Linked DNA regions of Macaca mulatta. The protein of the gene in region 5 interacts with the protein of the main gene of each other region in a pairwise test. Links are inferred from orthologs where the notes say so. Each region holds a gene or a part of one and is shown on either strand. Other genes may lie near its edges. The genes, in order: FCHO1, DMRTB1, TNFAIP1, BIRC2 and EXOSC5.

Evidence for each region.
Region 1: the proteins of EXOSC5 (region 5) and FCHO1 interact in binary tests that used the Homo sapiens proteins (3 or more experiments, as listed by UniProt). The two-hybrid records come from large-scale screens. The link is inferred for Macaca mulatta from reciprocal best matches to the Homo sapiens genes EXOSC5 and FCHO1.
Region 2: the proteins of EXOSC5 (region 5) and DMRTB1 interact in a two-hybrid assay, tested with the Homo sapiens proteins (2 studies listed by BioGRID). The link is inferred for Macaca mulatta from reciprocal best matches to the Homo sapiens genes EXOSC5 and DMRTB1.
Region 3: the proteins of EXOSC5 (region 5) and TNFAIP1 interact in binary tests that used the Homo sapiens proteins (3 or more experiments, as listed by UniProt). The two-hybrid records come from large-scale screens. The link is inferred for Macaca mulatta from reciprocal best matches to the Homo sapiens genes EXOSC5 and TNFAIP1.
Region 4: the proteins of EXOSC5 (region 5) and BIRC2 interact in binary tests that used the Homo sapiens proteins (3 or more experiments, as listed by UniProt). The two-hybrid records come from large-scale screens. The link is inferred for Macaca mulatta from reciprocal best matches to the Homo sapiens genes EXOSC5 and BIRC2.

The regions. Positions count from the first base shown.
Region 1 is NC_133424.1:18,278,235-18,281,749, forward strand, and holds part of FCHO1 (F-BAR domain only protein 1), read left to right. Parts: intron 1-825; coding exon 826-924; intron 925-1,013; coding exon 1,014-1,110; intron 1,111-2,813; coding exon 2,814-2,858; coding exon of another isoform or gene 2,859-2,862; intron 2,863-2,971; coding exon 2,972-3,056; intron 3,057-3,515. UniProt on the Homo sapiens protein: Functions in an early step of clathrin-mediated endocytosis. Has both a membrane binding/bending activity and the ability to recruit proteins essential to the formation of functional clathrin-coated pits.
Region 2 is NC_133406.1:187,154,547-187,158,814, reverse strand, and holds the start of DMRTB1 (doublesex- and mab-3-related transcription factor B1), read left to right. Parts: upstream 1-1,465; 5' UTR 1,466-1,560; coding exon 1,561-2,374; intron 2,375-4,120; coding exon 4,121-4,268.
Region 3 is NC_133421.1:37,030,487-37,034,677, reverse strand, and holds the start of TNFAIP1 (BTB/POZ domain-containing adapter for CUL3-mediated RhoA degradation protein 2), read right to left. Parts: upstream 2,801-4,191; 5' UTR 2,656-2,800; intron 1-2,655. UniProt on the Homo sapiens protein: Substrate-specific adapter of a BCR (BTB-CUL3-RBX1) E3 ubiquitin-protein ligase complex involved in regulation of cytoskeleton structure.
Region 4 is NC_133419.1:103,217,473-103,221,429, forward strand, and holds the start of BIRC2 (baculoviral IAP repeat-containing protein 2), read left to right. Parts: upstream 1-1,153; 5' UTR 1,154-1,299; intron 1,300-1,316; exon of another isoform or gene 1,317-1,758; intron 1,759-2,525; 5' UTR 2,526-3,783; coding exon 3,784-3,957. UniProt on the Homo sapiens protein: Multi-functional protein which regulates not only caspases and apoptosis, but also modulates inflammatory signaling and immunity, mitogenic kinase signaling, and cell proliferation, as well as cell invasion and metastasis.
Region 5 is NC_133424.1:52,537,457-52,540,971, reverse strand, and holds part of EXOSC5 (exosome complex component RRP46), read left to right. Parts: intron 1-1,446; coding exon 1,447-1,560; intron 1,561-2,755; coding exon 2,756-2,877; intron 2,878-3,515. UniProt on the Homo sapiens protein: Non-catalytic component of the RNA exosome complex which has 3'->5' exoribonuclease activity and participates in a multitude of cellular RNA processing and degradation events.

The DNA.
Region 1 (3,515 bases), about 34 Mb from region 5:
AGCCTGGGCGACAGAGCAAGACTCTGTCTCAGAGAAAAAAAAAAAAAAAAAAGAACAAACCAAAATAAAATTTTAAAAAACTGACATGCTCAGGGAACTGAAAAGTTTTATTTTTGAGTTGTGGAGGTTTCAGTTATAGCTGAATCCAGGTGCTCAAATAGTGCTGGCAGGAAATTGTGCATTTCTGCTTTTTTTTTTTTTTTTTTTTTGAGATGGAGTCTCTCTGTCGCCCAGGCTAGAGTGCAGTGCCACAGTCTCGGCTCGCTGCAACCTCTGCCTCCTGGGCTCAAGTGATTCTCCTGCCTCTGCTTCCCTAGTAGTAGTTGGGATTACAGGCACGTGCCACCACACCCAGCTAATTTTTGTATTTTAGTAGAGACAGGGTTTCACCATGTTGCCCAGACTAGTCTTGAACTCCTGACCTCAGATGATCCGCCTACCTTGGTCTCCCAAAGTGCTGGGATTACAGGCGTAAAACACCACACCCGACCACCATTTCTGCTTCTTAAGTCTATTTTCCTCTCTGGGGACATCACTCCCAGGCAGACGTGCCCGTGTGTGTGTGTGTGTGTATGCATGCACATGTGTGCATCAAAGTGGGCCCCAACAACTCCCACTTACATCCTATCCACTCATTAGTTCAGAAATGGAAGTGTCTTTTTCTGTTGATTCAGAGAAAGTCCTAGGGCAGACTATCATTGGCCCTTCCCCAAATCAATCAGTGAGCCAAGGGCTTAGGGTGTTCTGATTGGTCAGGCTGAGTCACATGGCCACTCCTTCTTGGCCCTGACATTCTTTCCACCTGCCTCTCCCGTCCTGCTTCAGCGCTTCCAAGCCATGGAGGAGACACACCTGAGGCACATGAAGGCGTTGCTGGGCTCCTATGCTCACTCCGTGGAGGACACGCACGTGCAGATCGGGCAGGTGAGTTGGGCAGGTGTGAGGAATGAGGCTGGGGTCACTGTTGGGCAAAGGGGCCTTGACCAGTTTCACACCCCGCCCACCTGGCACAGGTGCATGAGGAATTTAAGCAGAACATCGAGAACGTCAGCGTGGAGATGCTACTCAGGAAGTTTGCAGAGAGTAAGGGCACAGGCCAGGAGAAGCCAGGTGAGTCAGGGCAGCCATCAGGGGTCGGGCTTTAGTGCCACAGCTGCAGGTGATGGGCAGGACTCCAGAGGCAGGAGACTGAACCTCCCTGGGGCTTGGTTTCTTTCTTTCTCTCTCTTTTTTTTTTGAGATGGAGTCTCCCTCTGCCTCTGTCGCCCAGGCTGCAGTGCAGTGGTGCGATCTTGGCTCACTGCAACTGCTGCTTCCGGGTTCAAGCTATTCTCCTGCCTCAGCCTCCCGGAGAAGCTGGGACTACAGGCACGTGCCACCACACCCAGCTAATTTTTTTGTGTGTATTTTTAATAGAGATGAGGGTTCACCATGTTGGCCAGGCTGGTCTTGAACTCTTGACCTCAGGTGATCCCCCCGCCTCGGCCTCCCAAAGTGCTGGAATTACAGGCGTGAGCCACTGCTCATGGCCAGGCCTTGGTTTCTTCGTGGGAAAAATGGGATGCTGACGAGTCCAGCTCTCCAGCTTGATCTTACGGGTAAATCTCTTTGAACCAGATCCCACAGGAGCCTTGAGTGCCAGGCTCAGCTGTTCATACTTCACCCCCAGGGCCTAAGGGAGCCGTTGAGGGTTGTTGAGCAAAAGAACAATTTGCAAATGCTCAGATACAGGACTAGGGAGGAGTTAAGAGCAAAAGTTTTAGAGTCAGACCTGGGCTTGAGTCTTTTCTTCATCACTTGCTGTGTGACTTAGGACCTGTGCTTTGACTTCTCTGAGCCTCAGTTTCCTCATCTGTAAAGTGAGGATGTTAATAATGTTGTAACGTTCAGTGATTTAATTCAGGTAAAGGGCAAAGGGTGTGCCAGGCACACAGTAGGCACTCACTAAATGCTGGTATACAGTTATGTCTTCAAGTCTTGTTAACCAGCAAAACCTGTTCTTTCTCCCTCTTGTCTCTCTGGCTCGGCCCTGGCTCAGGTCACCCCTCCCTGCATGGGGCCCCACTCTTGCCTTTCACAGGCCCCAGATCTGTTGTGTCCTCCTCCTGCTCACACACCTTCCATGGCTCCCCATTGTTCTTGGGAGAGAGTTCCCACGCCTCATCCTGTCACTCAAAGCCCAGCCCACTGCACACATGCATGGTTCATCCCCCAACCCAACCCAAGTTCCAGCCACAAATGCTGGAAGTACGTGGAAGTAGCTCATGTCACCCCCTACAGTGGCACTAACCAGCTGGAACCAGACCAGCCCCTTGATCCATCCCACTCCTGATGATCTGGGGCTGGTTCTTGTCTGGGAACCTGATGGACCTTGAGTTCAGATCCAGGTGCCATTTTGTGGCCAAAAGTGTTCTACTCTTTCGAAGCCCAGTCTCCCCACCCTCAGTTTAGTTTCTCTCTCTCTCTCTCTCTTTTTTTTTTTTTTTTTTTTAATTTTTTTGAGGCAGAGTTTGCTCTGTCACCCAGGCTGGAGTGCAGTGGTGCAATCTCGGCTCACTGCAACCTCCGCCTCCTAGGTTCAAGCGATTCTCCCACCTCAGCCTCCCGAATAGCTGGGATTACAGGCACCTGCCACCAGGTCCGGCTAATTTTTTTGTAATTTTAGCAGAGACAGGGTTTCACCATGTTGGCCAGGCTCGTCTCGAACTCTTGACCTCAGGTGATCCACCCGCCTCAGCCTCCCAAAGTGCTGAGAATACAGGCCCGGGCCACTGTGCCCAGCCCCGCAATTGAGTTTCTGTCTCCCGTCTCAGGACCTCTGGACTTCGAGGCATACAGCGCGGCTGCCCTGCAGGAAGGCAAGTACGTCTGGGCCTGGATGCCCAGGCTGGACCGTGGGGGTGAGGAAGGCTGATATGAACGTGAAAGAAGGCACCTCCCAGTGCTCAGTTGCCCCCCAATCTATCCTCAGCGATGAAACGTTTGCGGGGAGCCAAGACCTTTCGCCTTCCGGGATTAAGCCGGCGGGAGCGGGAGCCAGAGCCACCTGCAGCTGTGTGAGAAAGCGCCCCTGCCCGGTCTGGCCCAGGCTAGCCCGGGATCCCTTCCCCTGCCCAGGCTATCCCGGAAGTCCCCTCCTAGGATAGCCCAGGAGTATCCATATTCCAGGCTGGACCAGGATTCCCTCCACCCAAGCTAGACCAGGAGTGCCTCTGCCCCAGGCTAGCTCAATATTACCGCTGCCCAAGCTAGTCCAGAATTCTTCCTTTTGCCAGGTTAGGCCAAGAACTGCCTGTCGCAGAGTAAGCTAGCATTTCCCCTGTCCGAGCTGGCCCAGGATTGTTCTGTTTGCCAAGGCTAGCCCCGACTTTCCCTACCTTCACAAGGCAGCCCTTCAAATGAGTTCCAGGATTCCTCCCCTCCCAGGCTGTTTGAGAACACTCTCTACTCAGCTAACTTCAGATTCAACCCCCTCCCCAAGCAAGCCTCAGGGTCCCACTGCCTCCAGGGCTAGC
Region 2 (4,268 bases), on a different chromosome or scaffold from region 5:
TCTGTCGCCCAGGCTGGAGCGCAGTGGCCGGATCTCAGCTCACTGCAAGTTCCGCTTCCCGGGTTCACGCCATTCTCCTGCTTCAGCCTCCCGAGTAGCTGGGACTACAGGCGCCTGCCACCTCGCCCGGCTAGTTTTTTTGTATTTTTTTAGTAGAGACGGGGTTTCACCGTGTTAGCCAGGATGGTCCCAATCTCCTGACCTCGTGATCAGCCCGTCTCGGCCTCCCAAAGTGCTGGGATTACAGGCTTGAGCCACCGTGCCCGGCCTTAGCCACTTGTTAACTGTAACTCCTCCTTAAATGTGACTGATCTACTTAGAAGCTTTTCGGCTTGTTAGTGACCCATTTTTTCCTTTTTTAGGACAAAGAAGGGAGGAGAGGGGAGGCGAGGAAAATGGAGGCAGTGGGGAGGTAGGGGGAAAAGAGAGAGAGAGAGGCCTCAGGGTGTCACAAATTTGTTTTTAAAAGATGAATTAATGGCTGGGCACGGTGGCTCACACCTGTAATCCCAGCACTTTGGGAGGCCCAGGCAGGTGGATCACCTGAGGTTAGGAGTTCAAGACCAGCCTGGCCAACATGGCGAAAACCCCGTCTCTACTAAAAATACAAAAATTAGCCGGGCATGGTGGCGGGTGACTGTAATCCAAGCTACTCAGGAGGCTGAGGCAGGAGAATCGCTTGAACCTGGGAGGCAGAGGTTGCAGTGGGCCGAGATGACGCCACTGCCCTACAGCCTGGGTGACAGAGTGAGACTCTGTCTCAAAAAACAAAACAAAACAAAACAAAACAAAAAAACCTTAATGTCCTTGGGTAAACTATGACGTTTGTGTTAGCTTTTCAGATGTCCCAATATTTGCGTTGTTTTATAAGGATAACAAAATTCATGATGAGGTTAAGCAATTACTGAAGCTAGTGCTAGACAGTTTTTTAATTTAATTTTTTAGAAACAGGGGTCTTGCAGAATTTGTTTTATTTAATTTTTTAGAAACAGGAGTCTCGCTATGTTGCTCATGTTGGTCTCCAACTTCTGGGCTCAAGTGATCCTCACAAGCAGCTAGGGCTACAGGCACAGGACACTATGCCAGGCTTAGTGCCAGAATATTCTGCCTATTTTACTTTAAAATATTCTAAGTATGCTTACTTTGGAAGGTATGAACATCAGCAATGTGCCATCCTCCAGAAGAGGATTTCTACACAAAGACTCTCAAGAAACGGGAATTACTGCAAGGGCATACCCTTGAGCAACCATCACACTGCACTGAGCTCTTGAAAATATTCTGGAATATCCTGGAAGCATCTCTGCACGGCAGAGAAGTGAAATGCCACAGAAGCAGCAGCTTTAGGGAGGAGAAATACGGTTTGCCTCTTACAGTGCTTTTCTACACTGAAAGCTACATTCCTCCCGAGTTTTAAATCTGTGGACCGTTGAATATCACTCCGCCTTTCCTGAAGTTACAAATACCTTCCGTCGGTGGCGGGAATAGAGTTTGGAAAATTACATGCCTAAGACTTCAGATAAGCTAAATGACATACATGCAATAGAATCCCATTAAGAATTTATGCAACCCAGTCCATTGCATCTAATTACCCAAAGCACAGAAACTCTCCAAACTGTGCACCCCCCAAAAGGAGGGAAAATGCAAGGTTCTTGCTGCAGTTCCCGGGACACACTGCGAGGTGCTTTGTTACAAGTGTATCCAATGTCCCCAGAACCAGGGACTTGTGGGGCGCGGCTCATCCCAGCGCCACTTGCTCTGCAGCTCCCAGAGGTGGTGGTTGTGCTACGAAGGCTGACCCTGCCAATGGCCGACAAGATGGTGCGCACCCCTAAGTGCTCGAGATGCAGGAACCATGGCTTCCTGGTGCCCGTCAAGGGCCACGCAGGCAAATGCCGCTGGAAGCAGTGCCTCTGTGAGAAGTGCTACCTGATCTCCGAGCGCCAGAAGATCATGGCCGCGCAGAAGGTGCTCAAGACGCAGGCCGCCGAGGAGGAGCAGGAGGCGGCCCTGTGTGCGCAGGGTCCAGAGCAGGCCTCCGGGGCCGCGGCCGCCGCGCCCGTTTCCCTCCCGGGCGGGAGCCTGCGCCCTCTGCCTCCGGGGACTCCCTCCGGAGACGCCGAGCCGGGACCCGAGGGCCGCGCGGCCGCCTGCTTCTTCGAGCGGCCCCCGCGGGGCCGGAGTCCCGGCCCGAGCGCCTTCCAACCGGTTCTGGGCGGCCGCGGCCACGTGGAGCCGAGCGAGCGAGCCGCCGTGGCGATGCCCAGCCTTGCGGGACCCCCTTTTGGGGCGGAGGCCACAGGCAGTGGCTACCCCGGCCCCCTGGACCTGCGCAGGCCGCTGCGGCCCGTGCCTGGCCCGCCGTTCACCGACTTTGGTAAGTCGTGGCCTCAGTCCCGCGGTGGACTCCCCGAGCTGGCAGTACAGGCCAGCCCGGATGGGCAGCTGGCATAGGGGTTTTGGGGTGGGGAGAATGCTTTCCACGGGTAACGTACCTTCTGCTTTAAGAAACCCTTCTTGGAACGGGGATTTGGATTGGGTACCTTTTCGCAAAAAGGAAACATAAGGGAATGGGCGGTTCAGAGGGGCTTTTTTTTTTTTTTTTTTTTGAGACGGAGTCTCGCTGTGTCGCCCAGGCTGGAGTGCAGTGGCGCGATCTCGGCTCACTGCAAGCTCCGCCTCCCGGGTTCACGCCATTCTCCTGCCTCAGCCTCCTAATAGGTGGGACTACAGGCGCCCGCCACCACGCCCGGCTAGTTTTTTGTATTTTTAGTAGAGACGGGGTTTCACCATGTTAGCCAGGATGGTCTCGATCTCCTGACCTCGTGATCCACCCGCCTCGGCCTCCCAAACTGCTGGGATTACAGGCTTGAGCCACCGCGCTTGGCTCAAAGGGCTTTTAACATTTAGCTGTAGTTTGTGCCATTCTGGCATGCAAGAACAAAATGGCGTCCAGTCGACTTAGCAGTGCTTCCTCCTCCGGGAAGAGGCCTCGAGGAGCCCAGTCCTACTGCGCTTGCGCACCTCTTCCCGCCATTTCCTTGGGCTGGAGGCTCCTCCTCCAGAATAAGAGAATTTTCCTGCCGGCAGGTTAGCGCAAGGACGACTGCGCCTGCGCCCTCTTCCTTCCCTGTTCGCGGTCGGGAGGCTCCTCCCCTCAGCACGGCCCTGGACCAGTGCGCCTGTGCACCTCTTCCCTCCCTTTCCCCGCGTGCGGGTGAGCCGAGCCTGCTGCTTTACTACACGTAAGAGAACAGTTGGTCTGTAAAGATGTTGCCTTTCTTTTTGCCCCTCACCTGGTACATAAATTACATTGTTCCCTGTGCCTTGGAGCTTTCGGTATTGAAGTACAGTTTCAAGTCACATGTACATTTGAAGCTTTAAAAGCCCCGGGGTTTGGTGTGGACGTGTTTTCCTGGTGTCTCCCCATGGTGGTGTCGTGGGACGGGCTGAGGCCGAGGCGGGAGCCTGGGTCACGCTGGACAAGCTCCTGCCCTCTGTGTGCCAGGGCATTGGTCCAGAGGCTTCCGCAGGCTCGTCCCGCCTTCCTGACTTTCCAGGAAAATCTAGGTCCCCAGGGAACGCCCCATCTGATGGGGTCACAGGTCTGAAACCGCAATTCTAGGAGAAGCCGCCTTTCTTTGTTCCATCTCAACAGACAAGCAGGGCTGGGCTGAACTATGAGCCAGGCATTCGTGATGAAGGACGCGGGTCACATTTCTTACCCTCAGGGACCTTGTCCTTGTGGGAGGGACAGGGTTGATTGAAGAGTCACACAAATCGCTGTCCAGAGCTCGAGCCATGGCCGGGTTCACTGTTGACCCGGAGGAAGAGGAACTTGGCACGGAGGACTCGTAGAGGCAGAGTGTGGGCGGACGGCGTGTGGGCAGCGGGGAGCCTCAGGCCGGGGGCCCACAGCGGGCTTGATGGCCGTGCCGAGGACTCTCCAAGAGCAGCGGGGCTGGCTGGAGGACGGAGATGCAGTGAGGGCCCAGCGGAAGGAAGGGCGGGGTGGGCTTTCTGTGCTTGGACAGCAGCGCTTACGACTCCGCCGGCCTGTGCCACGCTGCGGATGCTTTTCCCAGCGGTGTCTAACACTTCCCTCCTTGCTTGCCTTCTTCAGGGCGCCCTGTGAGCATCAACCCGGACCGTGCACTGGGCCCTGAGTACCCTGGCGGCTCCAGCATGCACCCCTACTGCCCGTTCCCGCTGGGCTACCTGGACGCCCCTCCTGGCGTCCCCCTGCAGCAGGGCTTCCGGCATGTGTCCCG
Region 3 (4,191 bases), on a different chromosome or scaffold from region 5:
GGCAACATAGCAAGACCCCATCTCTTGGCATTTAATATATATTAGCTCATTTAACTAATTCAGCAATTAAACTACTGAGTGCCTACTATGTTAAGCAATAGGGAACAATGAAAAAACATTGTCTTTGCCTTCAAACAGTTCAAAGGAGCATCATAACAGGAATTTTTAAAAAGAGAGAGAGCTAGCATTTATTGTACCCCTGTGTGCCAGGCACTGGGTACTCAGAAGAGAACAAATATAGAAAGTCATGTCCACATGGAGCTTACATTCTAGTGGAAGGAAATAGACTATAAACAAGGACTTGAATAAATAAACAGATAATTCCAGAACCTGATAAATGCAATAAAGATAATAAAACTGACATGAGAGTGATTAGGGAGAGGCACTAATTTAGACAGAGGGACAGGGTAAGCATCTTTGGGAAGGTGAATTTCAGCTGAGGTTTGAAGAGAGCATTCTACACAGATGGAAGAGTAAGTGCAAAGTTCCTGTTAGAAACAAGTTTTAGGGGCCGAGTGTGGTGGCTCACACCCGTAATCCCAGCACTTTAGGAGGCTGAAGTGGGTGGATTGCTTGAGCTCAGGAGTTCAAGACCAGTCTGGGCAACAGTGAGAGTTTGTCTCTACAAATGAAAAAAAATTAGCCAGATATGGTGGCTCATGCCTGTGGTCCCAGCTGCTTGGGAGGCTGAGGTGGGATGATTGCTTGAGTCTGGGCAGGTCAGCCTGGGTGACAGGGAAATCTCGTCTCAACAACAACAAAATAAAAACAAGTTTTAGGATCAGAAATAAGGTCATAATGGCTGGTGCACAGACAGTAGGGGGAAGTTGGTTTGATGTCAAGTCAGGGAAGGCAGGTGTTAGATGATAACAAAGTGTGGATTTCATACTAATTGCTATTACATATATATATATATATATATATATATTTTTTTTTTTTTTTTTTGAAACAGAGTTTCACTCTTGTTGCCCAGGCTGGAGTGCAGTGCCACGATCTCGGCTCACTGCAACCTCCGCCTCCCAGGTTCAAGCTATTCTCCTGCCTCAGCCTCCCTGAGTAGCTGGGATTACACGCATGCACCACCATGCCCAGCTAATTTTGTATTTTTAGTAGACATGGGGTTTCTCCATGTTAGTCAGACTGGTCTTGAACTCCCGACCTCGGATGATCCGCCCGCCTTGGCCTCCCAAAGTGCTGGGATTATAGGCGTGAGCTACCGCGCCCGGCCTATTGCTATATAATATATGAATCAATTGGAGAGTTGCAAGCAGAGGAGTGATATGATCTGACTTGCTTGTAGTGTATTTTGAAAAGATAACGGCTGCTGGGTAGAGAATGAATTGTAAAGGTGCAAGAGAGGAAGTGGGAAGACCAGAGGAAACTGTAGTCTAGGCAAGAAGAGATGACGGCGGGCCTGGACCACGTTAGTAATAACGGAGACAGAAAAAAAGTGGAATGATTTCACCGAATGCTCATTACATGCAGGAGTTTACAGTTGCTCCTCTCTTGTAAGTGCAACCCAGAAGCAGGGCACTGGTTTCCTAAGTTTACTGCTGTGTTCCCCTAATGGTGCTTAGCACAATGCCATGCACATTTTAAGTATTTAACATATGTCAGTTTGTTGGATTGAAATTGTCCCTGAAAAGATTTAGGTAAGTCCCTGGGAAGAATGTCCAAGGAAGTGGACGGCCAGCGTGGGTGCTGTGTGAAGCAGTGAATTCCTTTGGCGGCTTGTCTGGGAGACTCTTTCCTTTGCCACAGAGGTTGGGTATGGGAGGTGAACCCTCACCAGGAGGCTGCCAATGACTAAGAAACACTAGAATGGTATGAGATCACCTTCCCTTCTTCCGCCCACCTCAAAGGAATAAATCCACCTCCCTAACAGGCATTAGCAAGTTCCCTATGTATTTTGTGTCTAGCCCTAGTTTTCCCAGGATCAAAGAAAGCATACATACATGTTCTGTCAATGCAAAGGAGCTCAAAGGATAGGCCTGCCAAGAGAGGTCGGCGGATCCAGAGTTAATCTATTCCTTTCCTACAAAGCAATTGCTTTGAGCCCCTGGATGACGTCAATCAGATTCCGCCCAGACCAATGGGTTCCAGGAATCCTGTGGCAGGTGACGCCCCAGAAAGTAATTCCAGTGAGAATGAAGTTTCCACTGATAGCCACAGTGCTCTTCCTTCCGCACTTTGTGTGTGGATATTTGGGGATGCCTGGGGCTAGGGGCGGATCCATGGCTCACGCAACGAAGCTAATGGGAACCCAAGCAGAACAAAGGGCAAACAGCCGCGGCTGTAGAAAGAGGAGAGGTCTAAAAGGAAGAAGGACCCAGAAATCCGTCAGACACGGAGGACGGCGCGGGGAAAGCTGAGGGCTAGAGTGGGCGGATCTAGCAGAAACCCTAGGTGTAAAGGTTAAGCGTCACCCAAAAAATCCTGGGAAATGTGGCCGGTGTGGGCTCTTCTCTAGCCCGGGCCACTCCTCACTACCGAGAAACCCACACCGATTCTCACGCCCACCCTCCGTGGGAGATCAGAGCTCTCCTTTTCCCCAACGCCGCCCGCGCCTTTTCCCCAGGACCCGGCCGGGCTCGCTATACTCCAGCAGGGGCCGTCCATCCCTTCCCCGAGGGCATCTGCGGGCCCGGCTCTCACCGTCCCCGGGGGCGCCTCTCCTCTCAGCTGGGTGGCCAGCGGACTCCGAGCCGCCCCTAGCCTGCAGCCGCCTGCCCACCAGCAGTCCCGGGCTGTGAGCTCACATCCTGCGCTCGCCGACTCCGCCCGGAGTGCGGCCCAGCCCCACCGGTCGGGGAGCCTGAGACTACAAGTCCCTGCATGCATAGCGCTCTATCCGGGAAAGGGTGGAGGCGGAATCCCCCGAGGGTCTTCGCGGAGAGAGGAAAGCCACTTCCGGTCGCCTTGCCGGCGCTAAGGCTTCTGGGTCTTGTAGGCCCGACCTCCCCTCGGGCCTCTGTTTCCCAGCAACCTCTGTGGATTCGGGGCTGTAAGTGCTTCCGGGGTCAGGAAGGTAGTGACGTCATGGGTAAACAGGTTCTGTAGCCGTGGCAGCGGCCGTGGCAGGCTGACTGGGTACCGGCTGCCGCTGACCCGGGAGAAGCTGCCTGTCTACATCAGCCTAGGCTGCAGCGCGCTGCCGCCGCGGGGCCGGCAGGTAGGCTGACCTCGGGTCGGGGGATGCGGGCGGACCAGGGGCGAGAGGAGCCTGACAGGCCCGCGTCCTGAGGAAAGAGCCCGGGCGGAGAGAGACGTGGGAATTCCGCCCCACTCTCAGGGGGCGCTTTCACACCCAGGTTAGGCCTGGAGTTTGACGCGTTGATGCTTGCCACGATCTTACGAGGAAACTGGGGCTCGGATAAATTCGGGGAATTTACATAGTAAAGAGTCTGCTCGCAGTGCCTCGCATGCATCTGGGAGAGCCTGGCCACACAAATTATGCCACCGCGTCATGCTCAGGGAGCTTAGTCCCAGCTCTTGGGCCAGGTGTTGCTCAGATGCTCAGACACGCGTGTGATGGGAGTTGGTAGAGAATCTGTGAACTCTTTCCCTGCACCCCTTCTTCCATCTTACCTATCTCTTTAAGCCAGCCCCTCCAATCAGATAGGTGGGCCAAGCCAGATTCATGGGAGTCATGCCTGACTTGTTTTTCTCTTATCCCAAAACCGCCACATTCAGTCAGTCCATTACTAAGCCCCAATCACCTCGACTTACAAAACATCTCAACTCGGAGCACTTGTCTTCAGCTGCCAGCCTTGGTTACTGTAATGGTCTCCTGTTTCCACGGTCATTCATTCCGCATTTACTGAGTGCCAGTTATGTGTGGGCACCATGCTAGGTGCTAGGGTTAGAGTGGTGAACAAGAAGGTAGTTGGGGCCTTGCCCTTTCTTGTTCCCTCCAATCCGTTCTCCAGGCTAAGCAAGAATGATCTAAGTCTGATTTTGTTGGTTTGCTGAGAACTCTCTGGCTGCCCATTACCCTTCTGATAAAATCCAAGCTCATTACTGTGTCTTTCAGAGCCTTCCGTGATCCAGCTGTTGCCTCCCTGTCTAGCCTCATTCTGTTCCCTTCTCTTGCTCAGTCTCAGTTCTCGGAATGCATCAAATTTCCTGTTGCCTCAGGATCTTCACGTATGTGTTTCCTTCTGCCTGCAATGCCTTGCTTCCCTTTCACTT
Region 4 (3,957 bases), on a different chromosome or scaffold from region 5:
AATTAAGTGGTTCGCTATTTGGAAGTTTTTAAAATATTTGCCCCTTGGAGTTCCCCAGAGAGAAGCAAGCATTGGATTCAATGGGCAAAGAGCGTCAACTTCAAAAGTCATTCGTTGGCTGTCATAGCACAAACATTTACTGCATGCCACTGTGTCTATGGCACTACTGGGGGAGTATGGCGGAGGGATACAAAAGGTCCATCACTAGTAAAAGCCAAGGGTGTTTGTTTACAAATTTTCTATTACCTAAGCATTAAAAAAAAAAACAACCTTGGGCTTCTCTGTGGTTTATGTACAATTATATGTGCATGTACACCAATACACAGGCGGACGTATATATTTCATTTTATTGAAACATTCAGAAAATACTGGGAGTGAAGCCTGACTTGCAATACCGTTCCCGTTGCTGGCAATGAGCATCTGAAATAATGACACTTTTGTCTTTAGTGCATATGCACTGTTTGTCTCCAGAACAGAAAACCAAAAGTTTAAAAACAAGATAACCTAGTTGATTGTAAAACTCATCGAGTCAAAATTATTCATCAGATGCTTCCTACTTTCCAACGCTTCGCTTTTTTCGATTTGCACAAACAGCTGTTGAACGCTGATGCTACACAAACGGTTACAACTGTTTACTTGAGCAAAAAATGCCATCAGACTGACTCCATCCTCAAAATGCAGTCATCTCGACGGGGGAGGCATCACACTAGGGGAGCCTTGCCAGGGGCCAGATCATAACCCTGAGGTGACACAGGGTAGACGCGCAAAACCACCGGCGCCAGGGCGTTTCCGCAGGGTTTCCCAAGAGTCAAACGCAGCGGCTCACGGTTTGCCACGTCCCCCAGGAGAATGGTAGGCACAGAGAGAGAGGAAACGTGGAGGGGGCACAAACTGCAAGGTGAAGAAAACGAACAAACACCGAGTTGATACGGATAGTCCCCGTTCCCCTAAGGGCCGACCCCGCGACTCCCGATGGGCGTCCAGTTGCGCCGGGGGTCCCTGAGCCTCCCAGCGTCTTTCCCGGCGGTTAGTCGCCCCACGGCCGCAAGTGCGCTCGGTTTCGCTTTCCGGCCCCAGCCTCCCGGGCGCCCTCGCGCGGCTGCCAACGCGAGTCTCCGGCCGGGCGCGCTGACGTCATCGTGCGTCGGCGTGAGCCCGGATGGGGCGGCGGGCTTCGGGAGCGCCGGAGCTGACCCGAGCCGAGGCGGCCGTGTCTCCTTGTCGGTACCGCCGCTTCCCGGCTCTGGGGAGGCCTCTAGGCTGCCGCGCAGCTTCCTTGTTTGCTGCGCCCGCACTGCGGTGAGTGCTGCTCCTTCCGGACTCGGGCGGCGCGGGGAGGGTGGGGACGCGCGGGCCCGCGGGGGCCCACTTCCCTGATGTGGCGGCCGGGCGAGGAAGGAAGGGGCCAGAGGCCCTTCGGCCAAGGGTCGAGGGTCGCCGGGGGCTCTCTGCTTTCTACTCTCGCCAAGGTTTTATTGGATTCGGAAGCCCAAACTTCAAGACTTGCAGTCAAAGCCGTTTTTAAAATATGACTTGTTTTCAAACCTCCTCTGGCCGCCGCCCACTCTTCTGGCCCTTGGACTTTGACCAAGATGTTTTCTCGCAGTTTTTGCAAGGTTTTAAACAGCCCTCGGCGTTCTTTTAATGTAATACATTGAAACGAAGATATTTCGGTGGCGGTGATATTTCATATTTCATAGTTGCCACTGCGCTCTGTCATTCCAGTAGTCTGTTGTGTATTGTGAGAAACAACTCTGGGTAATTATTGGGTAAATCCCATAGTTTCTATTCTTTTCTCTTCCATCCTATCCCCTGTCCAGCTGCAGTTTGCATAAAGAGAATGCTGCAGTACGGTGCTCGCAGATAAAAGTCTTTCGTTTAAAGATAGTATATAAAAAATCGCGTGTAATTAAAGCAATCATGCCAGTGGGCGTCAGGCCACTGTTTCACAGGCCGCTGTGTTAGGTTTTGTTTTCGGTTGTTTTCTACCGTCGTTGCTTTGAAATTGTAAGGGATTGGCAGAGTTTAAGGGTTTATATTAATGAACTCGTGGTACATTTTACTGCAGTTTTCCTAGTCGCGGAGAGACTTGATATTACAAACTAACGTTGCTGTCTGATTACTGCTGTACTGCTGTTGACAGGGTTTAGTGGAGTACCTTGTCGCTCTCTCTGCCTTTTTCACCAATGTTCCTTTGCCTCCAGCAGAGTGCCAAAGATACCTTTAGGTCAGAAAAGGGGAGGAGAGCAAGGACAAAATGTTTTCCTGTGTGAAAATTTCCATCTGTCTCTAAAGTTGTGCTTTTTAAAGACACGTATAGTTAGTGCTATGGGAGTATGTTGCATTTATTTATTTTAATTAAGAGCTTTTTCAGTTAGAAAGTTGTGACAAATTGCTGGAAATTAAGATGTGTTATCTAAAATGTAAATTATTCTTAGACTTTAGTGAATAAATTGAAGAGTATGTAAGTTCTATTTGGCATGCAAATACGGTTTTCTAAAATACCTTTTGTTTTTTCTTTTCAGATTTACAGCCCTGAAGAATCCTCCTCTCCCTTTCCCCTTGCAGTAATAAATCCCATTTTGGAGATCTCGAAGCTTTATAAAGGGATATAGTTTGAATTCTATGGAGTGTAATTTTGTGTATGAATTATATTTTTAAAACATTGAAGAGTTTTCAGAAAGAAGGCTAGTAGAGTTGATTACTGATACGTTATGCTAAGCAGTACTTTTTTGGTAATACAGTATTTTGTTAGGCGTTTCTGATAACACTAGAAAGGACAAGTTGTGTCTTGTGACAAATTGATTAATGTTTACAGCATGACTGATAATTATAGCTGAATAGTCCTTAAATGATGAACAGGTTATTTAGTTTTTAAATGCAGTGTGAAAAGTGTGCTGTGGAAATTTTATGGCTAACTAATTAAGTTTATGGAGAAAATACCTTCAGTTGATCAAGAATAATAAAGTGGTATACAAAGTTAGGAAGAAAGTCAACATGCTGCAGGAAATAGAAACAAATACAAATGATATTTAACAAAGATAGAAGAGTTTATAGTTTGTGAACTTTAAGCCAAATTCATTTGACATCAAACACTATAACAGGCACAGGTTCAACAAAGCTTGTGGGTGTTGACTTCCCCAAAAGTTGTCAGCTGAAGTAATATAGCCCGCTTATGTAAATACTATGGTGATAAGCTGTGTGAACTTAGCCTTTAAATAGTGTGACCATATGAAGATTTTAATTACTTTTGTTTATTGGAATAAAATGAGATTTTTTGGGGACATTATATTAAAGTGCTTATAGGGAAAGAAGCCTGCATGTAATTTTTTACCTTGTGGCATAATCAGTAATTGATCTGTTACCCAGGCTTCATAGCTTGTAACCAAATATAAATAAAAGGAGTAATTTAGGTATTCTGTAGTTGCTTAGAATTTTGAGAATATAAATCTCTGTGAAAAATCAAGGAGTTTCAACATTTTCAAAAGGGCATCCACCTCTCAGGGCTTTAGGTTAGTATTACTCAAGATTATGAACAAATAGCACTTAGATTACTTAAAAGAGTTACTACAACCCCAAAGACTTGTGTTCCAAGTAGTATCTTGGTAATTCAGAGAGAGACTCATCCTACCTGAATATAAACTGAGATAAATCCAGTAAAGAAAGTGTAGTGAATTCTACGTAAGAGTCTATCATTGATTTCTTTTTGTGGTAAAAATCTTATTTTGTGTGAAGAAATTTCATGTGACTGTTTTAGCTATCAAACAGTACTGTCACCTACTCATGCACAAAACTGCCTCCCAAAGACTTTTCCCAGGTCCCTCGTATCAAAACATTAAGAGTATAATGGAAGATAGCACGATCTTGTCAGATTGGACAAACAGCAACAAACAAAAAATGAAGTATGACTTTTCCTGTGAACTCTACAGAATGTCTACATATTCAACTTTCCCCACC
Region 5 (3,515 bases):
TTTTTTTTTTTTTTGAGACGGAGTCTCGCTGTTATTGTCCAGGCTGGAGTGGAATGGTGCCATCTCGGCTCACTGCAACCTCCGCCTCCCCGGTTCCAGCAATTCTGCCTCGGCCTCCCGAGTAGCTGAGATTACAGGCACCCACCACCATGCCCAGCCAATTTTTGTATTTTTAGTAGAGATGGGGTTTCACCATGTTGGCCAGGATGGTCTCAAACTCCTGACCGCAGGTGATCCACCCACCTCAGCCTCCCAAAGTGCTGGGATTACAGCAGACAGTACTAGAAGCCAGGCTATTTATTTCTTCGGTCTTACCTCCTGTACCCCATTTATAGCTTCTGGGGAAATAAGCAGGAATCAGGATTCATTCCAGATATTATTCCTTTCTCAGGTGTCCAGACTGGACTGGTGCAGAATTTGGGGACCAGTGCCTAAGGGAAGAGCTGGGCTGGGGAACCTTTGCAAAGAGAAGTTGAGAGCAGTGACAGTAAGAGGGAGGATGGTTAGCTTTCAGGAAGAACTTCCTGTTAAAAGTTACTAATAGTGGCCGGGCATGGTGGCTCATGTCTGTAATCCCAGCACTTTGGGAGGCCGAGGCGGGCAGATCATGAGGTCAGGAGTTCGAGACCAGCCTAACCAACATGGTGAAACCCAGTCTCTGCTAAAAATAAAAAAATTAACTGGGCATGGTGACTTGAACCTGTAATCCCAGCTACTCAGTAGGCTGAGGCAGGAGAACTGCTTGAACCCGGGAGGCAGAGGTTGCAGTGAGCCGAGATCACGCCACTGCACTCCAGCCTGAGCAACAGAGCGAGACTCCATCTCAAAAAAAAAGAAAGTTACTAATATCAGGGCTAGGCATGGTGGCTCACACCTGTAATCCTAGCACCTTGGGATTACAGTTGCCCAGGAGTTCGCAACCTGCCTGAGCAACATGGCAAAATCCCCTCTTCACTAAAAATACAAAAATTACCCAGGCATGGTGGCACGTGCCTGGAGTTCCAGCTACTTGAGAGGCTGAGGCAGGAGGATCGCTTGAGCCCAGAAGGTTGAGGCTGCAATGAGCTGTGATGGCACCACTGCACTCCAGCCTGGGCAATGAGAGTGAGACCCTGCCTGAATGCCTGAATGGATGAATGGATGAATGTTAATAATATCAGCTAAAGTCTGTTGCGCACTCAGCATGAGCCCCGCAGTGTTCTAAGTGTTCTCTTTGAATTGTGTCCTTTGATCCTCACAAGACGCTAGCGGGGAGCGACTGCTATTTTCCCCATATTACAAATGAGGATACGCAGGCAGAGAAATGAAGTGAGTACTCAAAGAATCACTGCCAACAAATGGCGGGGGTGACATGGGGAGCCCTGGCCATCATGCTCAGTGCCACGAATGGGGCCCCAGGAGCAGGGAAGCTGTGAGTGAGGCCCTCCCGCCCTGCTGTCTCCTCAGGTGACACCTCTGTCCTGGCGGGTGTGTACGGTCCGGCCGAGGTGAAGGTCAGCAAAGAGATCTTCAACAAGGCCACACTCGAAGTGATCCTGAGGCCGAAGATCGGGCTGCCTGGTAATTGGGCCCTGCTGAACCTCTGAATAGTGCCCAGTTTGTCATAACCGGCCCCCAGCTCTTCCCTACCAGCTGCCCCGAGTCTCCACTCCCCGCTTTGGTCCCCACTCAGCTGTTTCTGTCTTTAACTCTCTGCCCTGTATCTCATCTTCTGTTGCTTCTCTCTCTGCCTCTAATTTCTCCCTCCTTCTTTCTCCCTCTCTCTGCCTCCACTCATTCATTCCATTAACCTGTTTTTCTTTTCATTTATTTATTTATTTATTTATTTATTTTGAGATGGTGTCTCACTCTGTCACCCAGGCTGGAGTGCAGTGGCGCGATCTTGGCTAACCGCAACCTCTGCCTCCTGGGTTCAAGCAATTCCCCTGCCTCAACCTCTCGAGTTGAGGTGGGCACGCCACCATGCCCACTAATTTTTTGTATTTTTTTAATAGAGATGGGGTTTCACCATGTTGGCTAGGATGGTCTTGATCTTCTGACCTCGTGATCCGCCCACCTTGGCCTCCCAAAGTGCTGGGATTACAGGCATAAGCCACTGCGCTTAGCCATTTTTTAAAAATTTTAATTTCATATTTTTAAGACGGAGTCTCCCTCTGTTGCCCAGGCTGGAGTGCAGTGGCTTGATCTCGGCTCACTGCAACCTCCGCCTCCCAGGTTCAAGCAATTCTCCTGTCTCAGCCTCCCGAGTAGCTGGAATTACAGGCGTTAGCCGTCACGCCTGGCTAATTTTTGTATTTTTAGTAGAGACAACGTTTCACCATGTTGGTCAGGGTGGTGTCAAACTCCTGACCTCAAGTGATCCACCCGCCTCATCCTCCCAAAGTGTTGGGATTACAGACATGAGCCCCTGTGCCTGGCCCATTAACCTGTTTTTCCACCCTTTTACCCTCATATCCTTCAATCCCCACTGGCTGGGCCTACTAGGGTGGGAGTGGGCGTGGGTAGCAGCATAGACATGGAACTCCCAGGTCTTCTTCCCCTGGATGGTTCCTTTGGTGGATGCTGGAGGTAGCAGGGGTCGGTGGACAGCAGTCAGGCCTTGCCTTCTTCCTACTGGAATCTTCCATCATCCCAGGTACCTGCACCATCCCAGGCTGAGACTGTGGGCCCTTTCCAGGGGTTTGGGTGGGGCGTATGGAGGAAGGTGAGCCACATGAAGGGGAAGACCCTGACAACCGCTCTTCAATTTCCCCAGGTGTTGCAGAGAAGAGCCGGGAGCGGCTGATCAGGAACACGTGCGAGGCGGTGGTCCTGGGCACATTGCACCCCCGCACCTCCATCACTGTGGTGCTGCAGGTTGTCAGCGATGCTGGCTCTGTATCCTTTCTCCCAGGCCTCCTCCTCCAGGAAGTCTCCTGATTGCTTCCCTTCTGGTGGCTATATATATGCTGTCTGCTAGCCAGAAAAACTTCAAACACTTAACAGGTACCAGCTCACTGAAGAAGGAGAGCAAACACCCTGGGTGCTTACTTATGTGGCAGGCACTGTTCTGTGTGCCTTACACACATTAACTCATTTAATATAGCACATGCCCTTAATGATCCCCATGGAAGTGGCAAAGCCAAGACTTAGACCCAGACCGTCTAGTTCTAGAGCCCAAGGACCCTGGCAGATGAGTGTTCTTATGTTCGCATGTTTTAGGTGACAAAACTGAGGCCCAGAGAGGGGAAGGGGCTTGCCCAAGGTCACACAGCTGGAAGGCCGCACAGGCGGGACTCAAGCCCAGGCCCGTCTGACTCCAGAGCCTGTGCCAATCACTTTTGTGTTTTTGGTTTTTTCTTTGTTTGTTTGTTTTTGAGACAGGCTCACTCTGTCGCCCAGGCTGGAGTGCAGTGGTGCAGTGTCAGCTTACTGCAACCTCTGCCTCCCGGGCTCAAGCGATTCCCATGCTTTAGCCTCCTGAGTAGCTGGAGTTACAGGTGCCCGCCATCACAGCAGGCTAATTTTTGTATTTT